Daphnia pulex: one gene and its partners. The protein of the gene in region 1 purifies or fractionates together with the protein of each later gene. This does not show direct contact. Links are inferred from orthologs where the notes say so. Each region holds a gene or a part of one and is shown in the gene's direction. Other genes may lie near its edges. The genes, in order: peptidyl-prolyl cis-trans isomerase E-like, ATP-dependent RNA helicase DHX8-like, zinc finger protein 830-like and RNA helicase aquarius-like.

Evidence for each region.
Region 2: the proteins of peptidyl-prolyl cis-trans isomerase E-like (region 1) and ATP-dependent RNA helicase DHX8-like purify together in Homo sapiens (affinity purification with mass spectrometry; 3 studies listed by BioGRID and IntAct, counting the BioPlex papers as one, with this or other methods). This does not show direct contact. The link is inferred for Daphnia pulex from reciprocal best matches to the Homo sapiens genes PPIE and DHX8.
Region 3: the proteins of peptidyl-prolyl cis-trans isomerase E-like (region 1) and zinc finger protein 830-like purify together in Homo sapiens (affinity purification with mass spectrometry; 3 studies listed by BioGRID and IntAct, counting the BioPlex papers as one, with this or other methods). This does not show direct contact. The link is inferred for Daphnia pulex from reciprocal best matches to the Homo sapiens genes PPIE and ZNF830.
Region 4: the proteins of peptidyl-prolyl cis-trans isomerase E-like (region 1) and RNA helicase aquarius-like purify together in Homo sapiens (affinity purification with mass spectrometry; 5 studies listed by BioGRID and IntAct, counting the BioPlex papers as one, with this or other methods). This does not show direct contact. The link is inferred for Daphnia pulex from reciprocal best matches to the Homo sapiens genes PPIE and AQR.

What each region holds. Positions count from the first base shown.
Region 1 is NC_060020.1:8,628,920-8,633,713, forward strand, and holds peptidyl-prolyl cis-trans isomerase E-like, read left to right. Parts: upstream 1-2,019; 5' UTR 2,020-2,318; coding exon 2,319-2,355; intron 2,356-2,419; coding exon 2,420-2,592; intron 2,593-2,669; coding exon 2,670-3,077; intron 3,078-3,136; coding exon 3,137-3,324; intron 3,325-3,388; coding exon 3,389-3,524; 3' UTR 3,525-3,610; downstream 3,611-4,794. Other genes in the region: uncharacterized protein LOC124192235, read right to left, coding at 42-51; uncharacterized protein LOC124191929, read right to left, coding at 3,693-3,826, 3,922-4,024, 4,102-4,343, 4,417-4,444. UniProt on the Homo sapiens protein: Involved in pre-mRNA splicing as component of the spliceosome. Combines RNA-binding and PPIase activities.
Region 2 is NC_060022.1:2,535,404-2,540,848, reverse strand, and holds the start of ATP-dependent RNA helicase DHX8-like, read left to right. Parts: upstream 1-1,782; 5' UTR 1,783-1,914; coding exon 1,915-4,923; intron 4,924-4,987; coding exon 4,988-5,253; intron 5,254-5,325; coding exon 5,326-5,445. Other genes in the region: merlin-like, read left to right, coding at 1-80, 151-282, 346-597, 658-974, 1,037-1,196, 1,255-1,305.
Region 3 is NC_060019.1:8,117,348-8,122,917, reverse strand, and holds zinc finger protein 830-like, read left to right. Parts: upstream 1-1,906; 5' UTR 1,907-2,089; intron 2,090-3,042; 5' UTR 3,043-3,201; coding exon 3,202-3,780; intron 3,781-3,850; coding exon 3,851-4,171; 3' UTR 4,172-4,403; downstream 4,404-5,570. Other genes in the region: protein hairy-like, read left to right, coding at 1-648; tetraspanin-31-like, read right to left, coding at 4,494-4,559, 5,381-5,570.
Region 4 is NC_060021.1:10,933,450-10,937,727, forward strand, and holds part of RNA helicase aquarius-like, read left to right. Parts: coding exon of another isoform or gene 1-540; intron 541-619; coding exon of another isoform or gene 620-1,006; exon of another isoform or gene 1,007-1,320; intron 1,321-1,765; coding exon 1,766-1,983; intron 1,984-2,059; coding exon 2,060-2,162; intron 2,163-2,263; coding exon 2,264-2,781; intron 2,782-2,850; coding exon 2,851-2,994; intron 2,995-3,062; coding exon 3,063-4,278. Other genes in the region: probable G-protein coupled receptor Mth-like 5, read right to left, coding at 1-540, 620-1,006.

The sequences.
Region 1 (4,794 bases):
TTATGAAAACTTGTTGATATTTCTTGATGTGTCTATCTGACCGTATTTCATAACATTGGGTAGTTTTGTTAAAACCAGCTTCAACGACTACTTCTGCGTCGTGATTAAACATGTCTAAATATGGAGCTAAGGCCATGTTATTTTCCATTCCATCCACCTTGTTCAATCCATGTGAGTGTTGTTTAGAATCTTGATAAAAGACTGCTCTTGTGTTGACACAAAACCAAGCCCACTGGAAAAGTTCGAGTGAGAGGGTTGAGCCGTATATCTTTCTCCATATTGCAAAGATTTTTTCATATTTTTTTAAGACAAAGTTTTGATTACACATTATTTTCTCTTGAAGAAAGCTGGGCAGGACAGCTATTTCTTGGCTTTTACACAATCCACCAACTGAGAAGCTCTTTGGTAATGTTGAAATGTATGAAGAGTACAGTCCATTAAACTTGGAGTTCAAAATGAAGAAAGTTAGACATTCTGCTGTAGTCATACTGAACTGTAGTAAGTCAGGAATCTCTGCCAAAACTTTTTCTTTAGTGATAAGAAGACTTTGGGGGATCTGGACTAGCAGATGGTTAGGAGCTATGTTAGACATAGCCATGAGACCTCGTCCAGTGCTATTAAACAGAGCTGGCTTTGTAACTAAACAATTTTTTGACACAGCATTCCAACCATTCGCACTCATCCATTTACAAAGTTCAACGAATTCTGAATGTGAATCAATCCGAAGTGGGCGAGAATGCACAATTCGAACCAACCTGTTTCGGATTCTAGATGTTCGTCCCATGTTTTTTTATAATGGAAATATATTTAATTTAACACCACAACTTTATACCACATTCATATTCTCACAGTTTTTCAATAAACTCACGGCGGTTTTCTTTTCGAATAGAGATGAAACAATTGGTTAAAATGAAATTTACGGCTGCTTACACTTGACTTCAAATCTTACTGAGTTTACACTTTACACATTTTGTTTACATCAGAGTGATCAGACGACTATGAGTTGACAGTGACAGGAATAGGGACGGGTGGGTTGAATCCGAAGTGGCTAGTCCGCTTTCATATGTATGGTTTGAGATGTAGCCCTTTACGCACCAGGAAGTGCTTGATTTCTAGTACATCTTTTGGATCCTAGGGCAAAATGCACGCCACTAGAGGCGCTATGCCCACGAAGTGAACGAACTAATGCTTGTCGCTTGACAGCTCTTTTTATACTAAATGCTATCCAGCACTCCCTAATGCATTAAAAAGGACGTTGCCTTCCCCCAAGCCTAGAGAGTAGAGACGTAGCAGTAGATACGTCTAAATAATTTTTTTACTTGACATAAATCATTTTCTATGATAGCCTAGCCTTAAGCCCTTAACTTTCCAAATTAATTAAAAAGAAAACCGTTATTCGTACGCAGGTACACTATCCCTTAACGGAAGTGTGAAAAAACAGGTTCGGTTTTAATTGAATAACTGAAACGCTATTCATCACAAAGAGAAAGATTTGAAAATAAATGCGGAACTTGCATTTGAGACAACCAGACGTCAACGAAAAAGAAGTGCGCGTTATTAAGATCTACCTCTAAAATTTATGCGATCTCTTTTGTCGTTAAAGAAAATCGGCCCAAATATTATATATTTTGAGATAAAATCCGCGGGTTAATGTCAATGGATTTATTAGATCCAATTCCTTGTTGTAGTTATTATATACCAGAGAGATGTATATTTTTCCTATATCACTGGCAAAACCAACAGTCAGATTCACGTCGATGTCCGTTAAATTTTTCTTAAATTTTTGGTTTAGTGCTTTAGTCTCAATTTTAAAAAAATTCCGCGATCCTCCCATCAGATACCTTAAAGTAGCAGCGAAGAAGCAACAAGTTTACTAGTTTTGGAGTAGCCTTTTTATTTTGCGTTTATTTGAATTTATTTTGATTCAAATAAAATAATCTGATGGGCTATTTGAATTTGGAAAAATCTCCAAAAAGTCGCTAAAAAGCGGAACAGCCACTTTGGTTCTAGCTCTACTGATCGTATAACGAAGCGAAACATGCTGTCTGCAGTCTCTGCACTCTGACGAACGTGTTTGACTGTTTGCCCACGCCAGTTTTCAGTTTGATTAGTCTGCAACCTGTGAATCGGTATTTTATTATTGTCCTCACTGTGCATAATAATAAGGAAGGTTTAGACAGTGATATTTATATATTACTCATTAGCTTATGGGGATGCTTTGAACATTGAGAATTTCAATACTTTACGTAAAGTTTTTGAACACGTAACCTCGATTCTTGATAATCTTTCTTGTGGTGCATTCAAATTTGTGCCGCAACATGTCATCTAACAATGCCAAGCGAAACATCTATGTCGGTAAGATCAAATAACATATTTCAGTCTTACGAAATGTAATGCTTACTGTGATTCATTTTAACAGGTGGCCTTCCTGATGAGGCAGATGAATCAGTAGTGCGTGCAGCCTTTATTCCTTTCGGAGAAATTGTTAATATAGAAATACCTCCAGATTATGAAAATCATGAAAAACATAGAGGTTTCTCTTTTATTGAGTATGAACTAGCTGAAGATGCTGCTGCCGCAATTGATAACATGGTATTCTCACAATTTCTTACAGTTTATCTAGTAAACAAATATTTAATTACTTGCCATCATGGATGCCTTTCTTTCAGAATGATTCTGAGTTGTTTGGCAAAACAATTACTGTAAACATTGCAAGACCTCGGAAAATTAAGGAAGGATATTCTAGACCAGTTTGGTCAGAGGATTCTTGGTTGCAAAAATATGCTGGAAAGACAGAAGAAAATAAAAATCCAGTGGAGGAAAACAATAAGGAATCAACTGAAGGGAAAGACAATGTTTCTGAATCTGAAACTAAGTCAGCAGTTTCTAAAAAGCCTCGCGGCAACCCTCAAGTGTACATGGATCTTAAAGCTGGAAAAATCAATTTGGGCAGAATAATTATTTTATTGAGAGCTGATGTCGCCCCTAAAACATCTGAAAATTTTCTTGCTCTCTGCACTCATGAAAAAGGTTATGGATTCATGAATTCCAGTTTTCATCGTATTATTCCAGGATTTGTAAGCGGAAAGCTCAGTTTTAATCAATATTTATTTTTATTAACGTTCTTTTGCAAAAGATGTGTCAAGGTGGTGATTTTACTAACGGTGATGGAACCGGTGGTCGATCAATTTTCGGTGGAAACGGGAAATTCGAAGACGAAAATTTTACGTTGAAGCACAACGGTCCTGGTATTCTGTCTATGGCGAATTCAGGCCCAAATTCAAATGGATCCCAATTTTTTCTAACCCTTGACAAAGCAGAATGGTAGGTTTTTTCCCTGTTAAAATATCATAGTTATAATGCTAATAGCACCTTTATGTTTTCAAAGGTTGGATAACAAGCACGTCGTATTTGGTCAACTTCTTGCCGGCCTAGATGTTTTACGTAAAGTGGAGAAGTACGGAACAAAGTCTGGTAAACCGACTGACAAAGTCATTATGTCCGCCTGTGGAGAACTATTGTAACACATGAATAAAAGAAGCTTTTTTTTAACTACATTGTTTAATGACCAATGTCTTGTGCTCATGAAAAATATAAACAAACAAATTGATTGGACTACAGTATATTCCAACCCTCTTCCCTCCCGGAAAAAAACAAAAAAACAAAAGAAAAACATTAACGTCATGGGTCCTTTAATTTTCGTTGAGATTTTCATATTGATTGATCCAGCTATGAATCAAATCTTGGATGTAATTGTCTTGCAGGTCTTTGGGTATCCGCGGTCCCGGATAATTCAATTCTTTATTTAATGCGCCTGTTAGTTCATCTAAACAAGTAAAATAATTGGTATGTTTACAGGAAATTCCCAAGTTTGACATTTTTTAGACACTGTAAGGTATTTGAATGAAAAAAGATATTTACTAATATTCATATTAGGCCACAAATCTTGCTTCTGATTCATAATGGGAATTTCATTGGATATACGGCCAAAAGGTTCCTCCCCAACCATTGCCGCCCGACCAGACTTCGAAAGATATATATATTTTTTTTTAAGTTTAGAAATAATTATCTGATTTTTTACGTCTACTGTGGACTACACACCTCCGTGGAAATATCCTTGCGCCTACCCAAACGAGGAACCGCCTTTGATGCCTTCAGAAAAAAATTAGAGAGACTTCCTTCGTGAGGAAAAGATTCTGAATTCATGTATTCAGCGATGATTCCTTCACCTCGTCGGCCGATTCGAGGAATCTTTTGTCGAAACCTATTATAATTCGGATTAAACGGTTCCGGGCTGGGATCTGATAAGGCAGACGCCAGCAGTAGCCACGTTAAAAACAGTCCTTGATTTAACAAAACGACATTAGTTGGTTCACTTTGTACTGTAAAGCAAGAATTAAATTCAAATATAAAAACCTTTTATCATTATTAGCTCTCGATACATGATCACTGTAACAGGAATAAGTTGATCTCTGTCCAACTGCGACAACTGAGCGTGACAACTGAACGCAAAACTACCATCTAACCGTGTTATAAAGGATTTTCCCCATTTCCATTTTTTAATTTTACATCATGCGGATGACATACGGGTTTTGACATATGGGGACACAGTATTGCTATTGCCCCCATCTTTCCGTATTATTTGTTTCAGTGAGGTTGATGTCGTCAATAACGCAGCAGGACTTCACTGTATAATATACATAATAAAAATTACCATCACCAGCAGCATTGTCTGATACGGGTCGGTTCGACGACAATCATGCGTAGTATTGTACTGGATTTAAGCTGTTTAGT
Region 2 (5,445 bases), on another chromosome or scaffold:
CAGCTGAACGTGAAAAAGCAGCCCTAGAACAACAGTTAATTCACTTTCAGGAAGAATTCCGTGTAGCGAACGAACAGTTGGTATGATATTCTTCAGTTTAATTTTTAGTTTTAGTATCAAGTACAGTATTTCATTATACCAATTTTGTAGAGGCGTTCCGAAGAGTCGGCTGAGCTGCTGGCCGAAAAGGCGCGAGTTGCAGAAGAAGAGTCAATGTTGTTAACTCAAAAAGCCTCAGACGCTGAACAAGAGTTGCAAAGAATTCGTTTATCTGCCATGAAAGTAAGTGAATTTTTTCATAACTTATTTAGGTAGCTTTACATTTAATTGTCTTTTTGCGTCTAGACCGAAGAGGAAAAACTTTTGTCTCAGAGACAATTACATGAGGCGAAGCAAATTGCCTCAAGGTTATTAGAGAATTCTGAGCGTTGTGCAGCAGAAGCAGAGCAGCTAAAAGGTGACCTTTTGCAGGCCCGTTACGCTGAAACTCAAGCCAAAAAGAAGCTACTAGAGTTTTTAACAACACAAGCTAGTGTTGCAGCCTTACACTCGGCATCTCGTCCAATTACACGCATCCCGTCGTCCGCGTCTGTCCTGGTACTTTGCAGTTTCTGTCAACATTTTAATGAGCGAATAACTACAATTACCATTTTTCAGTCTGTTCCCAACTTGTTTCCGACATCAAGTTCGTCGGTAGCTGGATCAGACCACCATTTACATCATCAGTCGGACATTCAGCAACATTTACGACGACTCGACGATGTCTCTAACGAAGCAAGTTTGCCGGCTTATGAGGCCCGCCTTCCTATTCCGCTGGCTAATCAGCTTACTGGCCTCACCAACTTAACTGGCTTAAGTAGTAGTGGATATCTATCAGCTATTGCTGCTTCCGAACTGGTCAACTCTTCATCCAACTATGACCTTATGACACATGGCGATATGGAGCAACTCTCACTTGAAATTGAGAAAGAGAGGTTGTAAATCTATCGTAGGAATTGTTGCGTAATTGTTTGCTCATTTTTTAAAATAAATTTAGAGTCGAATACTTGGAAAAATCGAAGCAACTGCAGGAGCAACTGAGAGAATTGCGTACAGAGATTGAAGTCTTGAAAGTAGGTGAAAAACAAACGCTTTACGATCAGCTACACGAAGAGCAACTCCGTTCAGGGGACGACAAATACTCAACTCTCAAAAAGGTACGCATGAATGAGAGTCATTAATTCAAATTTGAGTTAATTTTTCTTTTTTTCCTAGTCAAAATCTGGATCGACTGGAGCGCGCGTGGCCTTTTTCGAAGAGCTGTAGCTTAAGTCATATTTTTAATTTTACTTTTGACAATGTGTTGTACATAAATTTTAAATTGGCTGACCATTTTCATGGATGCAACTTAGTTTATAATCTTTAATTCACTAAGTTGCCCATTTTCGTGAAATCTTATCATCATAGACATTAGACAAATAGACTTTCATTTAAAAAAAACTTAACTCTTGTTGACTAATGAGTAATGTCTTTTACTAGTAGCAGCATCGGCGTTGTTTACATTCTTATATGAATTTTGCAAAATGAACCTGTATGTCTAGAATACCAATTCAATATGAACATGGAAAAGTTTCATTCAAATTCAAACACAAAATGCAGAGAACCGAGAAAGATTAGATAATTCTTCATTTCAATCTGTGAAACGCAAAAGTTAACAAATTCATTTCGAAAAAATGTAAATATTTTTTGCGCGCAATGTTGCCAGTTCATCTATTAATTTTGATTTTTCTTTTACAGCATTCTTGCAACGTTGTCTTAACAACGAAAGCATTCGTTTTTTCGTCGGCTCGTCAATTTCCACATTCGTCGCCATCCCAATTGTTGTGCTGTCAATTTGTAAATGATTTAATAAGTGGCAAAATATCCTATATCATCATGGATGAATTAGAGAAACTCGAACACCTGTCGCTTGTTTCTAAGGTGTGCACAGAATTGGAAAACCATTTGGGACTCAACGATAAAGATCTGGCAGAGTTCATCATCGCATTGGCCGAAAAACACAAGACCTTTGATGAGTTCAAAAGTGTAATGCTGGAGAATGGCGCCGAGTTTTCAGACTCTCTCATTGCAAATTTGCTTCGTCTTATCAAACACATGAAATCAGCCAACTCGAAAACAACTGATGTGAACTTAGCCCAGGTAAAGAAAACAGTTTACAATGCAGAAACAGAGAAGAAACGGGAACTCTTCCCTGGTCTTGCCTTAGCAGATAACCCTAAGGCAAGAACAATGCTTCTCGAAGACATAAAATTGACTATTAAAGATGTTGAAGAAGCTAACGATTTAATGGCTGAACTAGAAGCCATGGCTCCTAAAGAAGAAAAGATTTCTACTGAAGCAATCGAGCCTGTTCAGGAAAGAGCAAGGAGTAAAGACAAGAAGGAAAGAAGCAGACGTTCAAGAAGCAAGGACCGCAGCAGAAGATCAAGAAGCAGAGACCGCAGCAAGAGATCCAGAAGCAGAGACCGAAGTAGAAGGTCAAGAAGCAGAGATCAAAAGAGGAGATCAAGAAGCAGGGACAGAAGTCACAGGTCCAGGAGTACAGATAGAGGAGATCGAAACAGAACAAGTGATCGTCATCATGATAAAAGAAGTAACGAAGGCAGACGAGAATCCCCAAGTCGAAAGAAACCTCAAAAAGATTTTCCAGAGAATCCAGAAGTGGGAAATGTCTACGCGGGAAAAATCATGAATCTTGCAGCTTTTGGTTGTTTTGTACAAATTGAAGGAATACGGAAAAAATGTGAGGGTCTAGTGCACATCTCCCAGTTGCGACGAGAAGGCCGTGTGAATAGTGTGGCTGAAGTTGTCAATCGTGGAGATAAGGTTCATGTCAAAGTTATGAGCATTGCTGGCCAAAAGATCTCTCTTTCTATGAAAGATGTGGACCAAGACACTGGCGAAGATTTGAACCCAGCTCCTTCGACGTCAAGCCGCCCTGGACTAACCAGCCAGGAAAGTGAAACAGCTTTAAGGAATCCAGATCGACCTCTCTCATTGCTAGATTTGAAGGCAAATGTAGAGGAGGATGAACTAACCAACCGCAAGCGTGTGCAACGGATTTCGTCTCCTGAACGCTGGGAACTGAAGCAAATGATGGCAGCAAATTGTATCGACAAAATGGACTTGCCCGAATTCGACGAAGAAACGGGTTTACTGCCAAAGCTGGCCGAAGACGAAGAAGATATCGAAATCGAGTTGGTGGAAGAAGAGGCACCCTTTCTTCGAGGTCACGGTCGAGTGCTTAATGAACTTAGTCCGGTTCGTATCGTCAAGAATCCCGACGGTTCTCTAGCTCAAGCCGCCATGATGCAAGGCGCTCTCAGCAAAGAACGCCGCGAACAGAAAATGTTGCTCAGAGAAGAACAAGAAGCAGCTGACGCACCGGCTCAAGGCGCCAACAAGACCTGGATTGATCCCATGCCGGATGCTGGGGCTGCACCGTCAACGTCGTTGGGTCGCGGAACGGGAGCCCCTGTATACGACATGCCCGAATGGAAAAAGCACATCACTGGTGGACCGAAAGGAGCCTCTTTCGGCAAGAAAACTAGTTTGTCCATCGTCGAGCAACGTCAATCACTTCCCATCTACAAACTCAGAGATGAACTGATCAAAGCTGTCAATGACAACCAAATCCTAATTGTCATCGGTGAGACGGGCTCGGGAAAAACTACGCAAATCACTCAATATCTATCCGAGTCCGGATTCACGGCTCGTGGAAAGATCGGCTGTACGCAGCCTCGTCGTGTGGCCGCCATGTCCGTTGCCAAGCGAGTTTCGGAAGAGTTTGGTTGTCGTCTAGGACAGGAAGTTGGATACACGATTCGTTTTGAAGATTGCACCAGTCCTGAAACTTTGATCAAGTACATGACGGATGGTATGTTGCTGCGTGAATGCTTGATTGATCCCGATCTGCAATCGTATTCCTGCATCATGTTGGACGAAGCCCACGAAAGAACTATTCACACAGACGTTCTTTTCGGTCTTCTCAAGCAAGCCGTCCAGAAGCGAGCCGAACTCAAACTCATCGTAACGTCGGCCACTTTGGATGCCGTGAAATTCTCGCAGTACTTTTTCGAGGCGCCCATCTTCACCATTCCGGGTCGAACTTTTCCCGTCGAGATATTGTATACTCGGGAACCTGAGACGGATTACTTGGATGCCTCGCTCATTACCGTCATGCAGATCCACCTTAACGAACCACCGGGCGACATTCTTCTTTTCTTGACTGGTCAGGAAGAGATCGATACTGCCTGCGAAATTCTATACGAGCGCATGAAGTCCATGGGCCCTGACGTTCCTGAGCTCATCATTCTTCCCGTCTATTCCGCTCTACCGTCTGAAATGCAAACTCGAATTTTCGAACCGGCTCCACCAGGCTCCCGAAAAGTTGTTATCGCCACCAACATCGCCGAGACCAGTCTTACCATCGACGGTATCTACTATGTCGTCGATCCTGGTTTTGTCAAGCAGAAAGTCTACAATTCCAAGACCGGAATGGACTCTTTGGTGGTGACACCCATTTCACAGGCGCAAGCCAAGCAGCGAGCTGGTCGCGCCGGTCGTACTGGACCTGGAAAGACTTACCGCTTGTACACGGAGCGAGCTTATCGTGATGAAATGCTTGCCACGCCTGTTCCCGAGATCCAGCGTACTAATCTCGCTTCCACTGTCCTGCAACTCAAAGCTATGGGCATCAATGACCTGCTCAACTTCGACTTCATGGACGCTCCTCCTGTGGAGTCACTTATCATGGCACTTGAACAGCTGCATTCCCTTTCCGCTCTAGACGACGAAGGATTACTCACGCGTCTTGGTCGACGTATGGCCGAATTTCCTCTGGAGCCTTCTCTCTCCAAGATGCTCATCATGTCTGTTCACTTGGTATGATATTATCAACAATTGTTCCTGATCGATGTAATTGACGTTTTAAAAATTTTTGTTTTAGATGTGTTCGGACGAAATTTTGACAGTCGTGTCCATGTTGTCAGTTCAGAACGTCTTCTACCGACCCAAAGATAAGCAACAGTTGGCTGATCAGAAGAAAGCCAAATTCAATCAAGCCGAAGGAGATCACATCACTTTATTGGCCGTTTACAATTCCTGGAAGAACAACAAGTTTAGCAGTGCCTGGTGTTACGAGAATTTCGTTCAGATGCGTACCTTAAAACGAGCTCAGGATGTTCGTAAACAGCTATTGGGCATTATGGACAGGTATGTTTAGTCTTTGATGCAAATTGTATTATCCGTTCAAAAATCTAACATTTGTTCTTCTACACTTTCCAGGCACAAATTGGACGTGGTATCGGCTGGCAAGAATACGGCTAGGGTGCAGAAAGCCATCTGTTCGGGTTTCTTCCGTAATGCGGCCAAGAAGGATCCGCAAGAAGGTTATCGGACGTTGGT
Region 3 (5,570 bases), on another chromosome or scaffold:
CTTGACCGATGCTTAACTAATTTAGTTCCCGAACTACTGACCAACCGAAAATCGCTTTCACCTTCGCTCGGAAGCGACTCATGCACATCGTTTGAAGAAAAATACATGGACCCTTCCGAATTTGTCATGGACAGCTCTTCACCTGCAAATCGTATTTGTTCATCACCTTCAACATCGGAGGAAAGTCGGGACTCGTGCTCTCGACGGTCATTTTCAAACGAAATCAACAGCTTTGCTGATTTAACATCAACGCCGAATTCTTCACCGAGCAATGCGCTCAACGTGATACCGTCTCGCTGGACTTGCGGTTTCAAGTCCGTTCCATTCTTCGGATCTCCTGATTTGTCAGCTGAGAACTTGAATCAAGGCAACAAGTGGGAAAATCATCAGGTGGTCCCTTCTTCAATGTCATGCGAGAGAAAATGGAAGACGAGCGATGCCAATATCGTGGAACTTTTTGCATGTGGTGTCCCATCAACCAGCGCTTTTCCATCAGATTGTTCTTCCAGCTCTTTGACTTCCAACCAACACTACCAACATTCACCCGAAGTTATTTATCGACATCAAATCAGCCTGTATGACGATCATATTTCATCACCTTCCTTGAAATCGGATGCGGATCGTATGAAAGTATGGAGACCTTGGTAAAACTCGGTAAAACTACGTGATAATGGGTGTCTTGATTTGATTTTGATTTAATTGTATGTTTACTTTCTTACCGAACAAAAATAACTCATAATCGTGATTCATGAATTGTACATAAATGAGGATAATAAATAATATGCCATGTTATTCAAACGAAGTTTCATGTTATTCCGTCCTAGTTTGAAATGCAGTGATATACTGTCAACAGTGATTTTTCAATTTTCCGGGACATTTTGATATATAATGATAGCTGCAGTTCCGCATGAATGGTGTTTACGCTGGATGTGCTGGGAAAGACGGCACAGTCAAACCTAATTTACGCTAACTTAGCCAACAGCTAATATTAATATTGATACAATTCAATTATATAGTCAGCGCTGGCATTACACTGGCTTATACATTCGCATATAAGGGAGAACAAGTTATGATGCTGTATATAGAAATTTCAGCTGAATTTATTAAATGCGCACTGAGCTTTCTCGGGTTAACGATGTCGATCTTTACTCTGTACAATAAATCTAATCTACAGAATTCATTCTGTAGTGAGCCAAGGAAACGTAATCGTAATGTGTATAACATTCGTAGGTCACAATCAAGTTTTCTTACGTACTGAATAATTTTGACTTTTTCTTTAAATAACAAAAAAGGCCAGCGTGTTATCACTAGAAGTTTCTACATAATATATGACATAACTCTCCTGCCTACGGTAATCATCCTTTGGCATTCACTTTTAATGCTTAATTTTTTTAAACATATTTTTAAAATAACTCTGGTGCTCAACTCTCGAAAAACCATAATTCTCCTAAACACTACCATTGCTTTAAATGAAAGAATGGAAATGGAAGTAGCCTAGTAAGGAACGAGGAAATAGATGCTCGCTATTCAGGTTTCTCTCGCGCAGTATATAGTACGTACGTCTTTTTTACTCTCACGGCAAAAGCACAGCAACCTGATGCGCTCGATGGAGCTGTGCGGCTAAAAGGCCTGTTCACAAAAGGCGCTTTCTATATAAACGATCTCCTGAACATTTGGAAACCCGATCTTCGTAGATAACAACAATCTCTTCCCCTCTCTGAGGTCATGACCGTTGGGTCTAGTAAAGGTCCCTCACGTCGAGAAATATCCCTGTGTACACTTCATACAGCGATATCTACGTACGACTACTATATCTACCACGAGTGATAAGGAAATCAAACGAGATATCCGATTTCAACATGCCGGAAGTGGCAAACGATTACTTAAGCTGTCCCTTTTCCATTCTTTAAAGTAAAGGACTGAGGATGAGCTGGAGCGTTGAGCTCGTTCATTGAAAATGTGAATGAAAAAATGGCAAGTTAAGTTCTAGTGAAATGGGACGTTAGAGAAAGAAGGAGAAGGTTCTCTTTACATTTCTATTATTCTCATCGAAATTCTGAACCGGACATGAAAACCGTTGATAACGTCCGTAAGTAAGCGACTAAATAATGAACAAAGCATGACACACGGGTCACGACATTTTGTCGGGGAGTTGGTAACTATTTTCTGTTTACAGGACTTCATGGATTTAAGAAAAATTTACATGCGCGTTAACGTTTGAGCCATTCAAATTCAAGTAAAAAATGCAATCCAATTTTTCCGAGCCAAATTCAGAAATCTCAATCTATAAGAATTTTAAATCTTATGGAATTCTGTACATTAGTGTGTTATTTAATCGAAACATCAGTAGTTAAACGATCTCGTACAAAAGTGAAAGGCTTGGTGAAGGTATAACTAGATACAGACTGGACACTTGCATGTTAATAAAGCTATTGGGATTAATTAATTTACTGAATGGCACATGGGCATTCCAGATACCGCTCAAATAATATGTTTTGAAAACTTGATGCTTGAAAACTGAAAATGGCTGAATAATAATATTTTTTATATGGATCAAAAATTAATTAATATGTTTATATTTTGGGTAAAAAGACTTTATTCCTCGTGATTTATTCCTAAATTTATTCACAGGGCGAAAAAAGTGGGATTTTTGGGACAGAGGTAATAAAGGTTGAGTGGACTAATAAAGAGTGAGTCGGGGAAAGTGGAACAGGGAAATCTAGAGCAAACACGTATATCAAATAGTTCTTTTTTAATTTGAAAATTTTTTCAAGCGATTGGCTGGCGTAACATTCTTGATCATATTTTCGTTCTCAGACAAGTGTTCTTGTCAAACCACGAAGCATGAACACTACCCAATGGCTGTCTTAATTTTTGGATTGTCAGTCTGTTTGAGTTTTTTTCTTTTTGCATATGTGGTAGGATAGAGACACGGAGACAATGATTAGGCATGCATTGAAGAATAAAACAATAGCCGTGTTTGAGCTCAAGTGTGAAATTGATAAATTATTTTCAAATTTATTTGCAACTTTTGGTTACCAGATGACAGGTCGATAGGCTCAAGTTCCTTCACCAGGTGGTGCTTCTGCAGTTGTCGACAACTGTTGTTTTGATTAAAACTTGAAAGAGCAAAATTGGACGAAATTAATAACTGTACAACCGAATTTTTTAAACTTTGTTGTTGCTCTACATAAGATTGAAATGGCATCGAGTTCATCAAAATCGTCCTTAAAGCTAATGGGATCTGCTAAGAAAATAGATTCACCGCTAGCTAAGTACAACAGTGCTGGACAGCTGACTTGCATCGTGTGTAATAGCGTTGTCAAAAATGAATTGGTCTGGACTGCCCACGTCAATGGAAGACTACACCGAGAAAAAGTGCTTTCTTTGAAAAATCCCAAAGTTGAAGCACAGTTCACCAAGCCTCAAATTATTCCTGCTGTCAAACGGAAAGCAGACTCAATAACTACTAATGGTTCCTCAGCTTCACCATCCAAGAAAGGAGTTCCGAAAGATTTTTTTGATAACCAACCTCCTAATTTCATTGCCCCAATGCCAATAAAAAGCATCCTAAAAAACTCAACAAAACCCAAGTATGATTCTAATGTAGTCAAAATTGAAACACCTACCTTAATTGAGGACATGGAAACTGACGATGCACCTGAAGTGTCCTCTCAAACACCAAGTGGAACTGAAATATCCACTTCACAGCCAGGAGATGCTATTTCTTCTAATGCCATACCTGAAGGATTTTTTGATGACCCTAAGATGGATGCCAAGGTTCAATGCCAAAGACTTTAATGTTATTTCTACTTATTATTTAACCTAATATCTTGATATTTGTTTATAGGTTCGCCAAATTGAATTCAAAGACCCTGTAGAAGAAGAGTGGAACAAGTTCCAGAAAGAAATTGGTGATGAAGTTACAGCATCAGTTGCCATCCAAGAGGAAGATCAGGAAGAATCTACAGCTGAAAGACAGCTGGAAGAAATTGAAGAGCAAATGATAAAGTGGGGGAGAGTTCTTGAGCTGGAACAAAAGAAAGAATTGTATGGCCAGCGTGTTCGAGCTATTCGTGAATCGATGGTAGAGGAGAAAGAGACAAGTTCAAGCGACGAGGACGACGCTGAAATGGACAAATTCTTTGATTGGCGATCGAAGGCTACATGATCATTTGTCCACAAACGTCCTGCAAAATGTTGATGTTAAATATACCGGAAAGCACGATTTGATAGTTAGATTTATAATGTATTTCAGTTAACTGAACAACATCTATTGCCACATCAATTATATTACGCATATCCCGCACCACTTCGGCATTGCATCATTCCGAGAAAAAAGGAAAACATAAAACTTTTGCTAACTGAAGTCCAATAAGGACGATGAGCACACATGACGAAATAATAAAAAAAAATTAATTGTGGAATGGGAGCTGATGAAAATTCTAGTGTAGGGAGCGCTTTGACACAGTTTCCAATCATGTCTTCGAAAATCACTGCACCTCGTTCATTCCAGCAGCCATGTGTCTGAAGCGATATGCGACTGAGAATCCCACAAGCTGCAGAAAATAAAACAAAAATTATTTAAATTTAACAATTTAGATAAAACTTAAGAAAACAAAGGCAATAATAATAACGCTAAATTTAGGCCTAGCTACGGTAAAGCACCTACAAAAAATGAATTCAAAGAACCGTGTCCAATAAGCTCAAAGCAAAACAACACATAAGCCATAAAATGATGAACATGTTAGTTATGGAGGAGACCAGTACCTTGAGTCCTAGGAATGAGTGTTATGCAAAGATGGTAAGTGTGAAGGAGAAAAAAGGGTACGGTAAAATGGAATAGAACAAACGGGGGATCAACGGCAGATGGATTCGTAGGAAGAATTTAGAGAAAAGCACCGGGGTGGCCCTTTGGGTCTTTCTGATTGCGATAGCGTACGGTCAACCACACTCCAACGAACTGTAGAACGCAACATGGAGACAATGACACACAAGAAAAAAGATTTAATTCCACCTATCGAAGGCCGAAAATTATTTTACGTTAAGACTTCGGCAACAGTTTAATGTGCAGCCCCCAAATAAAATAGGGTGTACAAAGTATTGCGACAGTTCATGCAATTTTAATTAAGCTATGATGCCTCTAATTCGATATCAATTAAGTAATGATAACTACGATTTCAGAAGGAATTTCATTGGGAGCCTTCGTTTGTGAAAAATAAGCATGTTTCTCCTTACAATATTACGTTTGAATACTTAATGCTATTTACATATCACATAAGCAATGTTGAGATCTGAGTTAAGTGTTAGTAAACATGTAGGAGTTACTTATATATAAACTAAAAGAAAAGGCAATATTATAATTCATAATTCAAAATACCTCAGTGAAGCTGAAGAATAGACCAATTCCACCTGACACACGGAAACCATAATTGATCATATTTTCAAGTGCACTCTCACACGTTAGACAAGTAGGGCATTTATCCGCGCATTCGGTACCCGAATCAGTGGTATTGTGGAATCCACAACAATTAAAAGCGTTCTGAACATCTGTTTTAGTGGCATTGTCA
Region 4 (4,278 bases), on another chromosome or scaffold:
TGAGCCATGAACCACCGACTCCAAGAAAAGTAAATTGAGGTACGGACTAGGTCGAGAATCGGCAGATGAGAGAATTAGGTTGCTAATCATGGTGACGATCATTGAAACGACGAGGCTAATGAGCATGCAACCACTCAGATCCCGTAATTCTTTGAGAACGAGATGAATTCCGGTTAGCGTGAGCAATACCAACAGGCCGACACCTAAGCCGATGGGGTAGAAAATTCGCACAAACATTTCGAAAAAGTCGCTCTCATCCAACGGGCCCGGCTCGCAGATGAGAGCGTAGTAGACCGGGCCGTCTGACGGAGGCGACAACGGTGCTGAACTTGTGTTTTCGGCACCGTTTGGTAATCCGTGGCCGAAATGTGACACGGATCCCAAAAGTCTAACACCGTCCACGCAATACTGATCAAGTGGATATTCGTGGTGACGAGGAACCTCAGCCAACTTGTCCACCACGTGACGCAGGACACCGAAAGGTCTTAGTTGTAAATCTTCCTGAAATCCGGCGTATGTAAAGATGGGCCAGGCTCGAAACTAATTTTTGCGTATATGGAAAACACATGTCATTTTCATGAAAATGTTGAATGAATTAGTAGTTTTGATTTTTCTTTACCGGTCCACATTGTGGTTTACCCACGATGGATGAGATGCAAGGCCCGTTTGGAATGCAGAATTTGGTGATGTTAAAATCCGAATCGGCACTGTCTTTATCCAGGCTTCCCTCAAAAGACAGAAGGTTGTTATGGTTGTCTAGGAAATCGGGTGCCCACCGGAAAGATGTATCGTTTTGCAATTGACATTCAAACTTGGAGCCAGTGCTGTGGGTGGTGGCCGTGGTTCTGCTGGTCACTTCCACCATCATGTGAGCTTCTGGACAGCATTTCTGAACGTGAATCCAGTGACCCACGACTGGCCCTTCACTTTCCAGATTCTCTAAGCCTGTCGATGACGCCAACTGATGGATCAGCAAAAGCAACAGTGTAGCTGTCCACTCGGACATGATGACGCAAGGACGACGCGACCGCTCCTCTTTTTGAAGCCCGTTACAATCTCGAAGATCTTCACAGCCTCATGACATCCTCCTGTCTGGCTACGTTGAAATGTAACACTTTTGAGCACCGAGTTGTAATTTGTGGCCGTTTCCAGATGTGAATTGAACAAAGTGTCGAAGCTTTCTGTCTTTTTCTCTCCCTCGCTGTCCAAGGGAACAACAGACGACGGAACGACAGGGGAGATGAAAATGAGCGTAGCCTATAGTCGGTACACAGCAGAATCGAAAATGTGGTCGACCAAGCAACCTTGTAGCCTGCGGCGGAAATAAGAATAGGTAGAAAGTGACGGGCTTTTGTTCTCTTTGGGAAAAACACGCCCAGGTGTGCCGTGTTCCAGCCGCTTCTCTTTTCGCTTATCGCTCCCAATCCCTTTTCAAGGCTTCGCTTAAATTCAAATGGAAGGGCACGTTCCCCCTCTTTTTTTTCTCACTTTTTTCTGTGTTGTTCTTCTATTCTCCAATTTCGAAATAGGGGAAGGATGGCTTATAATCCGGACCGATATATATTCCGGTTAGTTTCCTGAAGGGTGGAAATTTTTTTGTTTTATCCTGCTAGCATTGTCTAGATTTTATACGCAGGTTCATGCAATTTTCAAACTTTGATCAATAATTTAAAAGTTTCTTTTCCCATGAGCTCGCCGCTATGCATTATTCATATCCTGTTTACAACTTTATTTATTTGTTTCCTCACTATTCTTTTTGTTTCAGTTGTTGGACATGCTCAAATTCTACGCCCGTTTTGAAATCAATGATCAAACCGGCGATCCGTTGACGGACCACGACATGATGCAACTCCACTATGATCGCATCACAGCACTCCAGAAGGCCGTGTTTGTCAAATACTCTGAATTGAGGCGGTTTGCGCTGACCAACGTGGCCAGCATCAATACCCGTGAAGCGCTCACCAAGCATTTCGAAAGCCTTAGGTTTGTGAAATTTGATTAGTTTTACTCTTCAAAAACTTGTGGCGTGAAAATTACATTTTACTTTGTAATTTTCCAGTACGACGGTATTGCAAGATATCGCGGCTTACCTCAAGCTATTGCCACCCCCAGACAATTCGGATAATGATGAGAAAAACAAACATTTCCTTATGGAGCTCTTGGTGAGTAAAAAATAGTTTAAAACATACGAGCGTAATTCAGGAGAAAGTACAGGTTGTTGTGTTGTTTTTTATATACACCCTTGGAATTCTTTTTATTACAGATATCCCGTCATGAAAGGCGCGCTTCCCAACTGGAGGCACTCAATGAAATGCCGTTGTACCCTACTGAGGATATCATCTGGAACGAAAACATCGTGCCGACTGAATATTTTTCCGGCGAGGGCTGTCTCGCCTTGCCCAAACTCAACTTGCAATTCTTGACGCTACACGATTACCTGCTGCGTAACTTCAACCTGTTTCGACTGGAGTCGACCTATGAAATCCGACAGGACATCGAGGACTCTGTTTTCCGCATGAAGCCGTGGAAAGGCGAGGACGGAAACGTGGTGTTTGGCGGATGGGCCAGGATGGCTCAGCCCATCACTGCCTTCTCCGTGGTCGAAGTAGGGAAACCGAATATCGGTGAAAAACAGCCTTCACGCGTTCGCGCCGATGTCTCGGTCATCCTCGACGTCCGTAACGATGTCAAGTCCGAATGGGAGAACTTGCGCAAACATGATGCGTGCTTTCTTCTCACTGTCCGGCCACCTGGCCCACCCGGAACACACTTTAACTTCAGGTATTTTGTTAGATAAGTTTTAGTTCTTGTTCAAGATGAAACTAACGTTTTTTTTTTAAATCAATTCAGAGAACCATTCGTTCCGCAAGTTGGTTTAGTCTACGTCCGAGGCTGTGAGATCGAAGGTATGTTGGATCACCTTGGAAGAATTATTGAAGAAGGACCAGATCCCAGACCGAAAATTCCAGGAGGACAGAGAACCTTCCGCGTTTGGTATGTTTCAAATGAGACTGTTGGTGTTTTCAATCAGACTTCTTTATGCGTCCACTTCTTTTATAAAGGTTGGACTGCAATCAATACAAGATGGACATGGATCGCGTCTCGCAAAACGGGGAGGACGTTTACGATTCATTCAACATCTTGATGCGACGTAAACCAAAGGAGAATAACTTCAAAGCAGTGCTGGAAACAATCCGAGACTTGATGAACACGGATTGCGTTGTCCCCGAATGGCTTCACGACATCATTCTCGGCTACGGTGACCCAGGAGCGGCTCACTACTCCAAAATGCCCAATCAAATTCCAGCATTGGATTTCAACGACACATTCTTGGACTATGCCCATCTGAAGGAAAGCTTTCCAGAACACGAAATCCGCACTAATGAAGAGGACGGAAAAGAGAAAGAAGGGCGAGACGGTTCGACGAAATTGGCCCCACCGTTCCGGTTAACTTTCAATCTACAAGGAAAAGATATTTTAGTTGAACCTCATGTTATGCCCAGCCGCGGCCCTTACCCGTTTAATGAGCCCAAGAAGAATGCCGTGCGTTTCACGCCGACCCAAATCGAAGCCATCCGTTCTGGTATGCAGCCCGGTTTGACAATGGTGGTCGGTCCGCCTGGTACGGGTAAAACGGACGTTGCAGTCCAAATTATCTCCAACATTTATCACAACTTTCCCGAACAGCGGACCCTTATCGTCACTCACTCGAATATGGCTCTCAATCAATTGTTCGAAAAGATCATGGCTCTAGACATCGACGAGCGTCATTTGCTCCGTATGGGTCACGGTGAAGAGGAGCTCGAAACGGAAAAGGACTTTAGCCGATACGGTCGAGTGAATTACGTGCTGGGCAAGCGCTTGGAGCTGTTGGATCATGTTCAGCGATTGCAGCAATCCCTCGGAGTTGCCGGTGACGTGGCCTACACATGCGAAACAGCTGGCCACTTCTTCCGCCTCCACATTTTAGCCCGCTGGGAAGAATACCTGGCCCGAGTCCGGAGCGACAAGAGCAGCGGAGTCACAATCGAAGATGTCGGTCGCCTTTTCCCGTTCGCCAAATTCTTTGAAGATGCACCTCAACCCATTTTCAAGAGTCGCAGCTACGTCGAGGACATGGAAATCGCCGATGGCTGCTGGCGCTACATTCGGAAGATTTTCAGTCAACTGGAAGAGTTCCGTGCTTTCGAGCTATTGCGAAGCGGACTTGATCGATCGCGATACCTGCTGGTCCGTGAGGCCAAGATTATAGCCATGACCTGTACGCACGCGGCCCTC